Linked DNA regions of Schizosaccharomyces pombe. The gene in region 2 interacts genetically with the main gene of each other region. Each region holds a gene or a part of one and is shown on either strand. Other genes may lie near its edges.

Region 1 (6,306 bases), 1.0 Mb from region 2:
TTTAAAAGATGGTTTCTTTTGGGATTCAATTGATAGTAAAATCCGTACGATGTGTTTAGAACAATCTTTGTCAGCCTGTGCGATAATGAAGCGGGTCTATTTTAGACATTTTAATCTTCGTGAAAGATGGCTCCATGCCCCGGAGAAAATTAAGCGATGTTCATTCCCAATTCATGGAGTTCGTCTTATTACCAAACTTCAGTTTGATGATGACAAAATAATTGTTAGCACCTGCAGTCCTAGAATTAATATATATGACACGAAAACAGGTGTCCTGATACGCAGTTTAGAAGAGCATGAAGGTGATGTTTGGACTTTTGAATACGTTGGGGATACTTTGGTTACTGGCTCCACAGACAGGACAGTAAGAGTCTGGGACCTTAGAACCGGTGAATGTAAACAGGTGTTTTATGGACACACGTCAACAATCCGTTGTATCAAAATAGTTCAAGGCAATCAAAGTACTACTGATACTGATGATGTGGAAAAAGAAAACAGACCAGCTTCAAATGATGCTAATTCAATGCCTCCGTATATAATTTCAAGTTCAAGGGATTGTACGATCCGTTTATGGAGTCTTCCATGCCTTGACGATCCACCATTTGTTAATGTAAATGAAAATCCTGATCAGAATAATGACTTTACTTCAGCTACGACCAATCCGTTTTACATCCGAACATTACGTGGTCATACGGACTCGGTACGTGAAGTTGCTTGTCTTGGAGATTTGATTGTCAGTGCCAGTTATGATGGTACTCTTAGAGTATGGAAGGCATCTACTGGCGTTTGTTTACATGTTCTTCGGGGACACGTCGGGAGAGTATACAGTGTCACAATTAATCCTTCTCGTCAACAATGTATCAGCGCTGGTACGGATGCTAAAATTCGTATTTGGAACCTTGAGTCTGGAGAACTTCTACAGACCCTTCATGGTCATTCGAATTTGGTAAGTCAAGTTACATTTAACCAAAATATCTTGGTATCCGCTTCTGCTCCTCCTGATACATCGTTGAGAGTTTGGGATCTAAACACCGGAAGTTGTCGAGATATTTTAAAATGTCCTTTGGGACACATATTTTTTCAACACGACGAGAGCAAAGTTGTCAGTGGAAGCCATAGTACGCTACAGTTATGGGACATTCGTTCCGGAAAGTTAGTAAGAGACCTATTGACTGATTTGGATATAATCTGGCAAGTTGCTTATAATGAAAATGTATGTGTGGCTGCTGTTTTAAGAAATAACCGTTTTTGGATCGAGGTCCTAGAGTTTGGATCTACTAAATCTTCTTGAGCTTTTATAAGTTGAGATACTAGAAATCTATAAAAGATCTCGAAATTTTATTTTACGTTTCCAAACTGAAATAGATTCATGCTATTTATTCTGGAAACTCCTCTATCATATAATATTTGTCTAATTGTTTGTTGACTTTTAAATGTTTACTCATAATTTTCTTTTTTAAATATCTAATAAGAATGCAAAATAATATTTTTTTAAATGATCTATTCTACATTTATAAATTATTTAGTGTTAAATTCGTTTGTTGAGGCCAAAATTTTTTTACCAAAGGGATAAGCGAATTTCTTGAATCCTTAGCTTCAAATAGCGTCCATTCTACCCAAAAGCGTACTATATTTTTATAATTAGCAAACTATAGTAAATAAAAAAACAAACATTTTAGCTTTGTAAATGTAAAAAGACATTTAATTTAACAAAAGGCTTTTACATTACTTCATAAGCTACCAAATGTCTTCATCGTAAAACATGCTTTTCGCATTCCATTTATCTATGTAAGCCATTTTAGTGTAGTTTAAAGTGTTGGAAAACCACAGGTGGGACTGTAATATACGTACACTTAAGACGCGTTCGACGCGTTCACAAAATTACCATATATAGATATCAACTTATCAAATACCCTTTACTTCTAAGTATAAATGACAAATGAATTCATACAAAGAGGAAATTCTGCAAACTAAGTCTGACTTTACTCTTAAAAATTTAATTTTCTTCGCGATATCAACATTATGCTATAAGCGGTACGCAGACATATAATTTTTAAATTAAAATAGCTAACAGAAGGCAAGTGCTCTTTTCAATGAAAACTGCTACAAGAAAGTCAATTTCGAAATTGAACATTTTAAAGGAGCTGACTTTGATTGTCAATTGAAACCTACTGTGGTTTCTTTACAAGCTGGAGTGGACAAAGAAGCAGACAGTTTTTTGGAAATGATGGTGAGTGTTTAAAACTTATCTAAAGAAATAAACTAATATTTTAGAAAACTTATATTTTCTCACTTGTATCAATGAAAGTTCCATTTACTGTTTACCTGATTATTTCGTCACAATGCAAGTCAATATTAGAGGATGACGCGGTTGAAAAGGAGATATTTTCATTTACAATTAACCCTGGAAGTGAAGAGAAAATATGTTGTGAGTCTTTTGTTTGTAAATTTTTTAACAGACTTCATGAGAGTTTTATCAAGCTTATCAACGTTCAGAAAGGTTTGTAATAAAGTTATTTTTAAGTGGTAACGTAAAAACAGAGTGCAAAGACGAAGAAAAAGTCGTACAAATTATTACAAAAATGGAACGCTTTCAATTATCAAAAGGAGAAGCAACTAAAGCTGGCGTGTTTTTAAATACCGTAGAAACAAAAGATTGCATGTCTTGGCTCAATCGAGGAGAATTCAAAGATATTGTATCTTTTTATGAATCAAACAATGGGTAAGTAAATTAAAACAAATTTCAAGTTACTAATCTATAGTATTGCGATTTCACATTGTTCTCATGCATTTGTACCGATAAGTACAGAGAAGATCATGATTAATAAAGAATCATCATTATTTGATTCTCAAGAAAAAATTGATTCTCAGCTCGAAAAGTTCCTCCAGCCTTTGAAATACGATGAAATAGGCTCAACTCAAATATTGGATGAACAATCAGTTGAAAAAAGTTTGAGTCAAGGAAAATGTGAGAAAATGCAGAATGAAAGTCGTGGATTAAGGGAAATAAAAAATAACAATCCTTGTGAAGAAGTAAAGAAAAGCAATTGGTTAAAAAAAAACATTTCAGGGAGTGACAAAGTTGACAAAGCCGAAAAGAAAAAAGCACTTTTGAATTGTGAATGCGGTGATTCGACGGAAGACTCAGAAATGGTGTGTAATCGTTTATACCTGCTAAAGACTAACAATATTTTACACAGTTTCAATGCGAAAGATGTGATGGATGGGTTCACTGTGCTTGCTATGGATTTGAGAGTGACTCTGATCCTCGCCAACCAAACCAATTGTTATGTTATACATGTTTGTTAGTTGATTCTGAATCTAGTTTGTATGACCGAATGACCATGTTGGTCGCATACAGACGAGCAATTCGGTGTATTTGGGCGTCAGAGTATCAAGGGTTCCAAAAGCTAGCGGCGCGACTGAGTAAGGAAATTTACCAACTCATTGACCATATACTAACATTATCTAAGATTGCAGCTATGCTGATGCCAAAAGAATTGAAGAAAGATTAGTTAACGAAAACATAATCTATAAGGAAAAAAAACGAAAATGGATATATTTTACGAATAAAAGCCCTGAAATGGTGTCATATCTTCGTGAGAAGTATTTTACACCGTCGCGATGGATATCTCATCTGAATTTTCAAAATTATCGTCAAGAGAATCAACGTGTAAATATGCGATCTTTTCTACGGCCCGAAAGAATGGAAGTAATAGAAAGACCAAAAAAGGTTTCTAAGACTTCAAACACTAAAGAGACAGACACCATGAAACCTCTGAGGATTTAAACTTATACGACTTATCCTATCTTCAAACAATTTGAGATGGATCAGTATTGCATCTATTTGCTCAAACTATTAATTTAAACTTACATAATATATTTATTATTAGCTATACTACATTATTACCATAAATAACATGTTCTGTTATCATCCGTTAGATATGAGACAATATTCATACAAACTCATTTTCTTGTCGTAGATAACTATGCTTACGACATTATAAATAGGCGGTAATTGAAATGAGGAATGAGGTTCAGTTATGAGCTTATACGAACATGAGATATGAATATAGACTTCATACAAGAATCATGCATACCACTATAAACTAGATCACAAGTAAATTTTATCGCAGTTCTACGCAGCGCTAAACGAATACGAAATTGCGTAGCTAATTTAAGCACTTCTTGAATTGCATTATGTGTGAATAGTGTGGTGATTTGATGTCAAAAAAAAAAAGTATAGAACGTTACACATTAGACTTGAACTTTTCCATTTGATACTGAAGTTACATTATTGCTGTGTTCGTGAGAACTTTGCATTATTCAGGAGAATTTTCGTTTTAAACATGGCGACAGAATGTCCACCTAAAATGATTTTGCGAAAGTCTGAAAAGCTAGACAAAGACGCGTCTAGTAAATTTCTCAATCGCTACATCCAAACGATTGAGCGCTTCCAAGATGAAAAATCTGGAAGTGAGAGTGTTCTATCCCAGTTAAATAGAGTCTTGATGTACCTGAAAGGAGAAGAGATACCGCTTATTTCTTTAAATTTACCTGTCCAAGGCCCTCCCACAGAGGAATTAATAATACCACCTGAAGAAATGTTGGAAACCAAGGAAGAGGAAAGTCTGAAACATGCAAGGGAAGAGAACGATGATTTGCATTTGGATAAAGAAACCAAAAAGCGTCTAAAAAAGGAAAAAAAGAAGGCTGCGAGACGGGAAAAGGAAGAGGCTCGTAAGGCCAAAGCGGATACGACTCAAGGTGTAGGGGAAAAAGAACAGAGTTAGAGTAAATTTAAAGGTGTGTTGATTATTTGTGGTTCAGTTATTTTGTTCGATTTCTAAAACATCATATGAGCTTTCGAATATAGTTTGCGCTTCATTAAAAAAATTGGGTTTTTTGGCTGCGATTATTTATTAAATCTTTTAAACGTGAGAGAAAAAATCCTAAGGTTTTTTTTGATCATGTGTTTGAGGACAACTACAATGCAACTTTTTTACTCGCAGTACTTGAGTTTGCATATTTTGTAAGTCCTTATCCATTCATTCTCAGTTGCAAGTATCAGATTATGCTTAAAGATTTTAAATTCATCATTAAATTCTTGTTTATCCCATAGTTTAATTGATTTTTTTTTTAATATAGGCTTTATTGTCGAAATTGTTGTCACAAATAATTGTTAAATAACAATTTAACAAAGATCATGGCGAGATCAATTACTAAACTCAATCTTTCAAATCAATACTCTGTGAATCCTAATATACTATTTCTTTCACATCACATCTTTAATGTTTCTACTAATACTGATTTATGTCGATTGATATTAACATGTATATCTTAGTGACTTATAACTATCTAATGAAACAACGCGTTGCCTTATACAACTTCAGCGTACTATATAGTGAGACCTACTTTTTTACGTAGACCTTATTAGAATTACCCAGGAGGCCCCTCCCAAACACTCACGATTATTTTACTAGTATCGTTTAATCTTACTTGAAACCCTGAAGACGGGTTCGTTCACTCAATTATAATGCAACATACCTTTATTTATGATACGTGCTTATGGATTTTATCAAGTAAGTTACTTATCATTTAGTTACAACCGGAACGCTAATTAATGAACCCCAGTTTTAATCGATTTCTTTTTCCGTGAAGTTAAAACGCGAGGCTCTTTTAGAGTTCCTCGCAAGGGACCTCTAATTTTAGTGGCCGCGCCGCATGCGAACCAATTCGTAGATCCTTTGATTTTGATGTTACAACTTCGTAGAGAAGTAGGTAGGAGGACTTCCATTTTGGTTGCTGCTAAAAGTTATCGTCAAAGATTTATTGGCCTCATGTCGAGAGCTTTTGGTGCAATTCCTGTCGAAAGGGCGCAAGATTTAGCTATTCGCGGAGAAGGAAAGATATTTGTCGTAGCTGAAGGTGATAAGACTGCTATTCACGGAAAAGATACTCTGTTTACAAAGCATTCAGTCGGTGATACTCTCCTTCTTCCTAATAATTATGGAAGTTCTCATATAGCATCCATTAAAAGTGATACCTTATTATATGTTAAACGTGAGTTTCGTGGAGAAGATGCTGAGAGAGTTTTGCTTTCTCCCGAAGGGTCGTCTTACAAGGTGGCTCCTGAGATTGATCAAACATATGTTTATAATGAAGTCCGTAGACGTCTGGTGAAGGGTGCATGCATTGCTCTATTCCCTGAAGGTGGATCTCACGATCGTCCTGAAATGCTACCGCTTAAAGCTGGCGTTGCAATTATGGCGTTGGAAACTCTTTCTCAGCATCCGGATTGTGGTC
Region 2 (9,231 bases):
TGCAAAATACACTTCCTTGTTTTGCCGGATCTGTAAAGATCGTTGCTTAAATTTTGTAAAGTGAAATCTTAAATGGCATGTTAAAAATGGCTCGGTCGAGATGTCAAAATTTCGTTCTTTTGTCGCTCCTAGAACTACTAGTTTTACTTTTATATCCTTGAACTCTTTCATCTCCGTCCATCTTATACAGTACATAGCTAAAGTGAGAACGTTCCTTAATATTCGGTTTGTTGTATTTGTTTATTTACAACATGCAAGTTAATCCGAATACGTAATGGTTTGGAAGAGCTCCTTACGTTAGCGCTAAAAGAAAATATATAAGCGTAGGAAATATCATATTTTATAAACCTGTCTTTTACCCATACCATACGATAAGTTCAATTAGGAAAAAAAAAACAAAGAATCCTCAATTTGGAATTCTCATAGCTGTTTTCCTTTTTCCTTTTACTCATTCATTTTCTCGTATTCATTGTTGATCAACTCGGTCTTTTTGCACAACCATTCACATAGGTTGAGCCTGTTGTTTATCTTTGTTATTTTCTGAACTTGTTTTTATATTGCTTTGTTTGATTCAATGACTGCTCTATCAACCAACTCTTCTTCTGGTGGGATCTTCAAGATCGCTATTGTTGGCGCCGGTGGCATTAACTTTGGTACCCCCGAGGGACCTTGGAACAATGCCCAGAGAGTTGAAAAGGTGTTAGGAAAATCACTTCGAGTAACTGCTCTCATCAACCCCTTAATTAACGAAAGCGAGCGTGTTTTGAAGTCTAAATGTGCATCTGACGTTGCTTTCGCTTATGAAAACACCAAGACGTATGTCTCTGTAACTGAGTACTTGGAATACTTGGATTCCCATCCTGAGGATGTCCCTTCTGCTTATCTCATTGGCATTCCTCCTGATTTCCATGGCTGCACAACTCCGGGTATGGACATGGAGTTGGAAATTTTAAGAAAATACCCCAATGCTGCTCTATTTATCGAGAAGCCTATTACTAGTGCTCCTGTCCAAGGTGCTTTTAACCTCGTACATGAATTGGAGAAATACCATGCTATCATTTCAATTGGTTATATGTTCCGTTATTTAAAGATCGTTCAAGCCGCCAAGAAATACGTTGCCGATAATAACTTGAACATCGCTTGTACCATTGCAAGATATAACTCTGCTTACGAACATAATAACAAACTTTTCTGGTGGTACATGTCAAAGTCTGGTGGTCCCGTCGTTGAGCAAGCTACACATTTCTGTGATTTGTCCATCTATTTCGGTGGTGATGTCGATACTTCTACCGTCAAGGTAAACCGTGTAAACTGGTACGACCCTTGTGGAAAATTAGCTAAGGTTCCTGTTGACGAGGAGTCCATTCCCAAAGAGGAGCGCATCCCCCGTTTCACCGCTGCATCATGGAAATATAAGTCGGGTGCAGTTGGTATTCTCGCTCATAGTATCATTTTACAAGGAACGAATTATGACACTTGTCTAGAGCTTCAAGCAGATGGTCATTATGTTCGTATGGTTGACTTTTACGGTCAACCCAGACTTTACATTCGTTCTCCTGAGGCTGATAGCGAACGCATTATTAATTTCCCCGAAGATGATCCCTATTATAATGAATTTGATGCTTTCTTGGGTGTTGTCCAGGGCAGATATCCTCCTAGCCGCATTTTGTCCAAGTTTGACGACGGCGCTAAGACATACGAGTTGACGAAGATCATTACGAATAATTAAAGTATAGAAGAATTGAACACACAACTTTTTTTTCCTTATATTTTCACCATTTTGGCTTTTTTCTCTTTTTCGTTACCTTTCATGAAAGTTTTCCCTTCGTTATCGGGAATGTTTTTAGACTTAGTTCCAATATCACATGTCGTTTATATGTTTGTTTCAATTTGCAGATTACTTTTGAAAATGTACGATGACATATCACATCCTTCGATTCCTCTCTGTTGTAATGACAATGTGTTTGTATGTATTCGTTAAAAAATTGTTGATCAATTTTCTCGTAACGCGAAACTGTATTCTTCAGTAAACATAAATTTTGGTTACTAACGAAAAAAATATAGCATAGTTCAATTTAAAAAATTTTCCTTAGGCATAGCATTTAGTATAGTTATTATAAATATCTAAAATTCAAAAAAAAAAAGATCAATCTAGCAAAAAAATACTTTGGTGTATCGACCAACTACATTGTAGTGGATAAAAAATCGTAAGTTATTATTGACAATTTGCTTTTCGTAATACATAAAGAAGGTAAAATTTATCAACAATGAAGTAGATAATATTCATATAGATATTTCAATGGTTTATACATCTGTAACATAACTAAGACATATGTTAGTTTTTGTGCAAAGAAATGGAGAAATGAATAAAAAAAAAAAACAAAGACTTACTTAGCTGGGAATTGACCGGTCACTCCATTAAGTATCCCTTCAGACCATCCGTTTCCAGCGTTTCGATTTGTGACCTGAATTATATCACCCTCTTGGATTGATAATTCCATATCGGATTGAGCTGTGTATGCATATAACGCCTTAACATAAGAAGAATCTCCATCAAGTGTCACACTCGTATTTAATTCATCATTCAATTTAACATAAGAAGCTGGAATCAAGCCATCAGTTCCATCGATTTTTACTCGAACCCAACCAGAGCCATCTATATTGATCTATTAGAATGGGATTTTTCAAGCTTTACTTACCATCTGGTTCAAGTAGCGTAAATTCCTGTCCTTCAGAAGCTGTGATTACCCCTTCATGTTCCCCGGTAAAATCGTAAAGAACTACACCGTCAACCTTTGACGCTGGTTCAGCAGGCGTTGTTTCTTCTGTTTTCACGTTGCTTAAGGAAGTTTGATAAATACTACTTGAATCCATATCATCTGTGTATGTGTTACGATAGGATTCATAGGCATTTGAAGACGACGCAGAAGCATCAAAATCATCAGTGGCAGTAACACTGGTATCTACAGCATCATCGTCGGCCACTTCGGGCTCACCATTTTTGCAGTTGGCGGGAACAAGAAGTTCACACCTTGCATGGCATTTGAAGCCACAATCTACACGTGTTTTGTTAGTTAACGAAAGAAAGCAAATATTTCGTACTTTTGCAAACACATCCACGCTTCGATAACCCCCAAATAATTTCACGACAGTAACTGCAACTTGTCGGAAGTTTAAAACTAACATGTTTGAAATCATGAAAACGACCTCCTTCTTCTAAATTATTCGCAACTGACGTGATCTTGTTGATACGAACCTCTAAATCTTCTATTCTGGCCTTTACCATGAGCTCTTTCCCTTCTAGATTTATCGAAGCCTTTTTAGATTCAAATGACTGGTTAGCACTATTTGGATCATCGACGCGTAAACCTTCCAATTGTGAATCTAACGATACAAGCTCGCCTTTCTGTTTTCCAAGGTCATTTTTGGAGTGGACCAGTAAATTTCGGAGGTAGTTTTTACATGAACCATCCACCACCAGTGCATCCGTGTCATGCCAGATAGGACTAGGTTCAAAATGCAAGTCAGCAGGAAGTGCCCAATTCTTTGAATTGTGCCTTCCGAACATGGCAGAATCAAGGACTGGTTCATTTTTTGCAATTTCTGATTGAATTTCAACGGTTCTTTGGGATAAGGTATCATGGAGAGACTTTTCAATTGAAAAGCTGTTACACCATATTTCATTTAAATTCGAAACCCTGTATTCGTTCAATACTTGCATATGATTAAGGAGCGTTGGTAGAGTTTCATTATAAAACTTTTGCTTGTGGGCGTTGTATACAAGCATACGAAGTAGGTATTTATTTTTCTTATCGAGCATATCACTTTCAGATAATTTTAAATTTCTTTGAGTTTTTTGCTCTCGATATTTATCGTTTTTTTGCCTTGCGCTTTCTAAATCATCGCAGGCCTCATGGTAACTGACCTTGGCTCTCTTCACACTGTTTAACAATGTCTCCTTTTCGGATGAGAATTTTTTATATAAATCATCATAAACTTTTCTTAAAGCCTCTATATGAGACTCTAGTTTCTTCAGTTTTTCAGCAATGTCCAATGAATAGTCATCGGATAGCTTTTGATGAGTTTTTGATGAGCGCGTTAACTCATCCAAAATTTTAGACCATGTTGTTAAAGAAGCACTATAAAATTAGCCTGTGAACAGGAATTCAATATCCATCTAACTTCAATTGCTTGACAGGTTCCAATATTTTACATACCATTCTAAAGAGCCAGCAGACATTGCCGGAGTATCTCCGACTGAAAGGGCTGATGATTTTCTGGATTTCTTCTCCCCATATTTATTCGAAAGACTGGCTAATTTCTGAGCATATTCTTTTTCTAGCAACAAAGTTAGTCATTGAAATTTAACCATTGTCGTTTCTTATTTACCAATAGAACTTCTTTCTTTGTAGTACAATTGAATATCTTCAAGCCATTTCGCGCCATTATTAATCTTTGTTACAATGTGTTAATTGTTGAACTGTCTTCATTTTCATTCTTGGCATACCCAACTGTCGACAACTTTAAAATCGTCCTTTTATATATTAGTAAATATGCCAAATAACTAAAACACCTTACGTGAAGTTCATCACTAAATTTGTATGTTTCCAGGCTCATTATCCAGTATTATCTACACGTTTGATATCGCTGCAATAAAAATTTGTACCGGATATAAAACAATTAAAAAGAAAGTTTGACGGAAGAAATTGTGACAATTTTTGGCTTTACGTTACGAATGTTGATGAAAAGGAAGTACGGTGGTGAATCGAAACCTATATTGTTCAACTTTCACTTAAGGAGTAACTTAGCAATCACCAACTACATTGCCCACCAGAAATTGTCATCCAGTTTGCTAAGTCATCCTTGCTGAGTTTGGATATCTGAACTATAAATTTGATTTTTTTTATTTTTTTTACTAAAAAACATCCAAAATGTCAACTACACTGGGACAGGAAAGCAAAACTGACTGGGCTAGTTTGGACTCTGATGAAGAGGTTCAAAGAATTAGTGATAAAGTCAATCAGTTAAATACTTCAGAAAATAAAAATGAAGATCAAAAAGCAACAAATTTAAGTGACAGATTAGGTCCAAAAATCACTGAGAATGTTGATGCAAAATCTGAGCAAGACAAAGCGACCAACACGATTGCAGAGGACGCCAATACGAAGCAATCTGAAAATGATGAATCTAATTTAATACCAAATAAAAACGAGGTTCGTGTAAAATTAGCAGATCTACAGGCTGATCCAAACTCACCTCTTTTTTCTGTTAAAAGTTTTGAAGAGTTGGAGCTCAAGCCCGAATTATTAAAGGGAATTTATTCAATGAAATTCCAAAAACCCTCAAAAATTCAAGAGAAGGCGCTTCCACTTTTACTCTCAAATCCTCCTCGCAATATGATCGGACAATCACAATCCGGAACTGGTAAAACCGCTGCATTTGCATTAACGATGCTTTCTCGTGTTGATGCTTCTGTTCCCAAACCTCAAGCTATCTGCCTCGCTCCTTCTCGTGAATTGGCCCGTCAGATTATGGATGTCGTGACGGAGATGGGCAAATATACTGAAGTAAAAACAGCTTTTGGTATTAAAGACTCCGTCCCTAAAGGTGCAAAAATCGATGCTCAAATTGTAATCGGAACGCCTGGCACTGTGATGGATTTGATGAAGAGAAGACAGCTTGACGCTCGCGATATTAAAGTATTCGTGTTAGATGAGGCAGACAACATGTTAGATCAGCAAGGATTAGGAGATCAATCTATGCGTATCAAGCACCTTCTTCCTAGAAACACTCAGATTGTTCTTTTCAGTGCTACCTTTTCGGAACGCGTTGAAAAGTACGCTGAACGTTTTGCTCCCAATGCTAATGAAATTCGTCTGAAGACTGAGGAGCTTTCTGTTGAGGGAATCAAGCAGTTGTATATGGATTGCCAAAGTGAAGAACATAAATATAATGTTTTAGTGGAATTATATGGGTTATTGACTATTGGTCAATCAATTATATTTTGTAAGAAAAAGGATACCGCTGAAGAAATTGCTAGGCGTATGACTGCAGATGGACACACTGTTGCTTGTCTTACCGGTAATCTGGAAGGTGCACAACGTGACGCTATTATGGATTCATTCCGAGTAGGTACTTCAAAGGTTTTGGTTACTACGAATGTAATTGCTCGGGGTATCGACGTATCGCAAGTCAACTTGGTTGTAAACTATGATATGCCTTTAGATCAAGCAGGAAGACCCGATCCACAAACATATCTTCACCGTATAGGTCGTACCGGTAGGTTCGGCCGTGTTGGAGTAAGTATCAATTTTGTTCACGATAAAAAGAGTTGGGAAGAAATGAACGCCATTCAAGAATACTTCCAACGTCCCATCACGCGAGTGCCTACAGATGACTACGAAGAGCTTGAAAAAGTTGTCAAGAATGCACTTAAAATGTAAAGCATGTTGATTTTTAGAGATTATTTAATACATAGGTTTCTTGGTACCAATTACTAAAGGAATATTATTTACTTATGCTGGTATTTCACTGGTTTTTTTGCATATCAACTACCGAAAGAGAACGTAATCTCACTTACAAAAAGTAGAGAGCAGAAGTGTGAAAACAAAGAAAAAAGAGTATACATTTTGACTTAAGATTGCATTGATTAAGACGTATGAAACTTTAGCCAAAAAAAATAAAAATGTTTGCTTAAGAGGAGGTAGCCTTGTCAACGACATCACGAGCAAAGGTAGGAAGAACAAAGGAAGCAGCATGAATTTCACTGTTATAGTACTTACAAAGCTTATTCTCTTCTTCGGGAGACCACTTGCGAAGAGGCTTGCTAAGGTCGATGGAAGCATCCTTGGAGGCTACAACGAAGCCGATAGATCCAGAGGGATAGGTGGGGATAGTAGTGTATGCGTAACGAACATTGGGGAAAACTGTTTTAACGGCAGTCAAGACATTGCTGATGACACCCAAATGAATCCACATACACTCAGCTTGAGTAGTAATGACACCGCCTCCACGAAGAGCATCGGAAAGAAGTTGAAAGTAAGGTTTTTGGAACAAGGCTTCGGCAGGACCGTCAGGATCGGAAGAGTCTGTAATAATCACATCAAAAGTATTTTGATAATCTTGCAAAAATTTAAAACCGTCACCAATGTGTACCTTAACCTTGGGATGATTGAAACCTGCGGACATCTCAGGAAGGTATTGCTTGGAGACTTTAATGACATCTTCATCAATATCGCACAAGATAGCCTCTTCGACACATTCGTGTTTGACCACCTCACGAAGTACACCGCCATCACCACCACCAATAACGAGAACTTTCTTTGGGTTGGGGTGACTGTTTAGAGCAAGATGAGCAATCATTTCTTGGTAAGAAAACTCGTCGCGCTCAGTGGCTTGAATAGCACCATCCAAAACCAAAACATGTCCATAAGTTTCACTCTCAAAGACCAAAACATCTTGATACTTTGATTTTCCTGCATATAAAACCTTTTTAACCTTCAAGGTCATGGCTTGACCAGGCCACATGTTGTTGATCTCACGAAACCAACCATCTTTAATAAGAGGATGAGAAAGTTCTTGAACAGACATTTTCACTTCTAAATAACAATAAAGACACACAAAAGCAAGTAAGTAAGGTTGTAGTACCAAGCAAATACAAACGTTGCAAACTTTGCTTTTAGGAAAATTTTGTCATGTCGCATATTTAAGCGTGACCGTTTTAGCGCAGCGCTTGAGTTAAAAGTAGCATGTTAAGATACGTTACTTTTTTTAAAAAATGAGCTTAATTGATATACTTTCGGTTGTTGCTTACATTATTATCAGCGATGCTTGGCAATGAAAAGTAGACTTCTATTGTTGGGAGTGGATTTGGAACAACAATCATATTTGACGAAGCTAAAACTGATCGAGGAAACATTTGAATTAGTAAACAAATGTGTTTATACAATATTCCTTAGTTAATACGATGTCGTTTAATAAATCAAGAATTGATCAACGTAGAGGTTATATCAGCATTGTGCATCAGTATAGAGAAAAGTAGCAGGGTAAAAGAATAGTATGATAGATCTTTTGGTTAAGATTTGGAGACGAAATTATAACTACCATATGAGAATACAGGAAAGTGATATAGTATCGATGAATAATGTATAAGAAAAAAGCGCAACAATGACTTGAAGCGCTTATGCACAGTACGCATATAGTACACTTTCATAAGTTTGGCTCGTTAAAAATTAAAATCACGAGACTGGTGTGGTATAAATTGATGTAAATTCGACTTAAATCTCAAATGTATCTGGAGAAAAAGTGTTTGTATAATAACAATACGAATGATGGGAAAGTGTTTCTTCCAAAAGAAAAATAAAACATAAAGCGTTGAAGGATTTTGTCAAATTTTCAATCACTTCTCAATCCCACCAGTGCTGTTGTTGTTTTGCTATCCTATATCGAAAATTTTAATTTCAAGTTACATGATCAATTCACCTATTTACAAGCAGATTGTTGATCAATCTTAATGCCAAAAGTTAGCAATATTGTAGATCTTAAATTCATTACGATGATTTGTAAATGAATCGCTTTAGATAAACCATGTAAGACAGGTGATTGAAAAGTTATATTCTCAACAAAAAAGCCAGAGTGGAACCAAACATAAAACCAAGCTTACAATTATTGAGGCAGATGAGTATGCATTGAATCTCAAACTTACTCATTTCTTGAACACTTCTTTTTTACTCAGAAGAATATTCGTGGCACGCAAAATTTACACAAGATTTCTCTCTACGGTATTTCTATTTTAAAGCTAAATTCTACTACTTTCTCTGGCTAAAAGAATTGATAAATCAAAGGACAAGAAGATCGAAATTCTGACATAGTCCATTTAGTGGCACATATTCCCAGTACTATTCACTGTATCCTTTTAAACGACATCCAATCCTCCTACAAAGATAATTTTACTAACGCCTTTTATTGTATAATAATAAAACGAATGTGGCATACGTGTTCCTTATAACGCACTCCTTATAAGCCATACCAAGATTTTGGTTTTCTACCAATGATACCTACATAGTAAATCCCATACTCACTTACTTACCCTTTACCGTCCTCATCGTCCCAAAACTTGGTTGATCGTAGTTGTGAGTAAATCAAGTTGGTTGATTGAAATATAAATAAAAATTTATTAAAAAATTGCATTCCCATAATCCAAATTGTGCGTGTATCTTATAGGCATAGTTG

The links.
Region 1: mutations in bzz1 (region 2) and hop1 together harm fitness more than expected from each alone (negative genetic interaction), as found in Schizosaccharomyces pombe (2 studies listed by BioGRID).

What each region holds. Positions count from the first base shown.
Region 1 is NC_003423.3:3,470,380-3,476,685, forward strand, and holds hop1 (synaptonemal complex-associated protein hop1), read left to right. Parts: upstream 1-1,939; coding exon 1,940-2,034; exon of another isoform or gene 2,035-2,082; coding exon 2,083-2,230; exon of another isoform or gene 2,231-2,274; coding exon 2,275-2,443; exon of another isoform or gene 2,444-2,481; coding exon 2,482-2,722; exon of another isoform or gene 2,723-2,762; coding exon 2,763-3,153; exon of another isoform or gene 3,154-3,200; coding exon 3,201-3,426; exon of another isoform or gene 3,427-3,473; coding exon 3,474-3,790; downstream 3,791-6,306. Other genes in the region: cullin 1 adaptor protein Pop1, read left to right, coding at 1-1,291; DNA-directed RNA polymerase I complex subunit Ker1, read left to right, coding at 4,350-4,793; sct1 (glycerol-3-phosphate O-acyltransferase), read left to right, coding at 5,537-5,582, 5,635-6,306. UniProt on the Schizosaccharomyces pombe protein: Facilitates initiation of meiotic recombination and DNA double-strand break (DSB) formation at DSB hotspot sites by enhancing the interaction between rec10 and rec15.
Region 2 is NC_003423.3:2,461,559-2,470,789, reverse strand, and holds bzz1 (diacylglycerol-binding protein Bzz1), read right to left. Parts: upstream 4,763-9,231; 5' UTR 4,618-4,762; coding exon 4,579-4,617; exon of another isoform or gene 4,535-4,578; coding exon 4,508-4,534; exon of another isoform or gene 4,454-4,507; coding exon 4,390-4,453; exon of another isoform or gene 4,339-4,389; coding exon 4,218-4,338; exon of another isoform or gene 4,140-4,217; coding exon 3,103-4,139; exon of another isoform or gene 3,057-3,102; coding exon 2,700-3,056; intron 2,657-2,699; coding exon 2,392-2,656; intron 2,324-2,391; coding exon 2,305-2,323; 3' UTR 2,051-2,304; downstream 1-2,050. Other genes in the region: SPOM_SPBC12C2.04 (NAD-binding dehydrogenase family protein), read left to right, coding at 575-1,729; ATP-dependent RNA helicase Dbp5, read left to right, coding at 4,932-6,443; srm1 (spermidine synthase), read right to left, coding at 6,694-7,590. UniProt on the Schizosaccharomyces pombe protein: Plays a role in endocytosis and trafficking to the vacuole. Functions with type I myosins to restore polarity of the actin cytoskeleton after NaCl stress.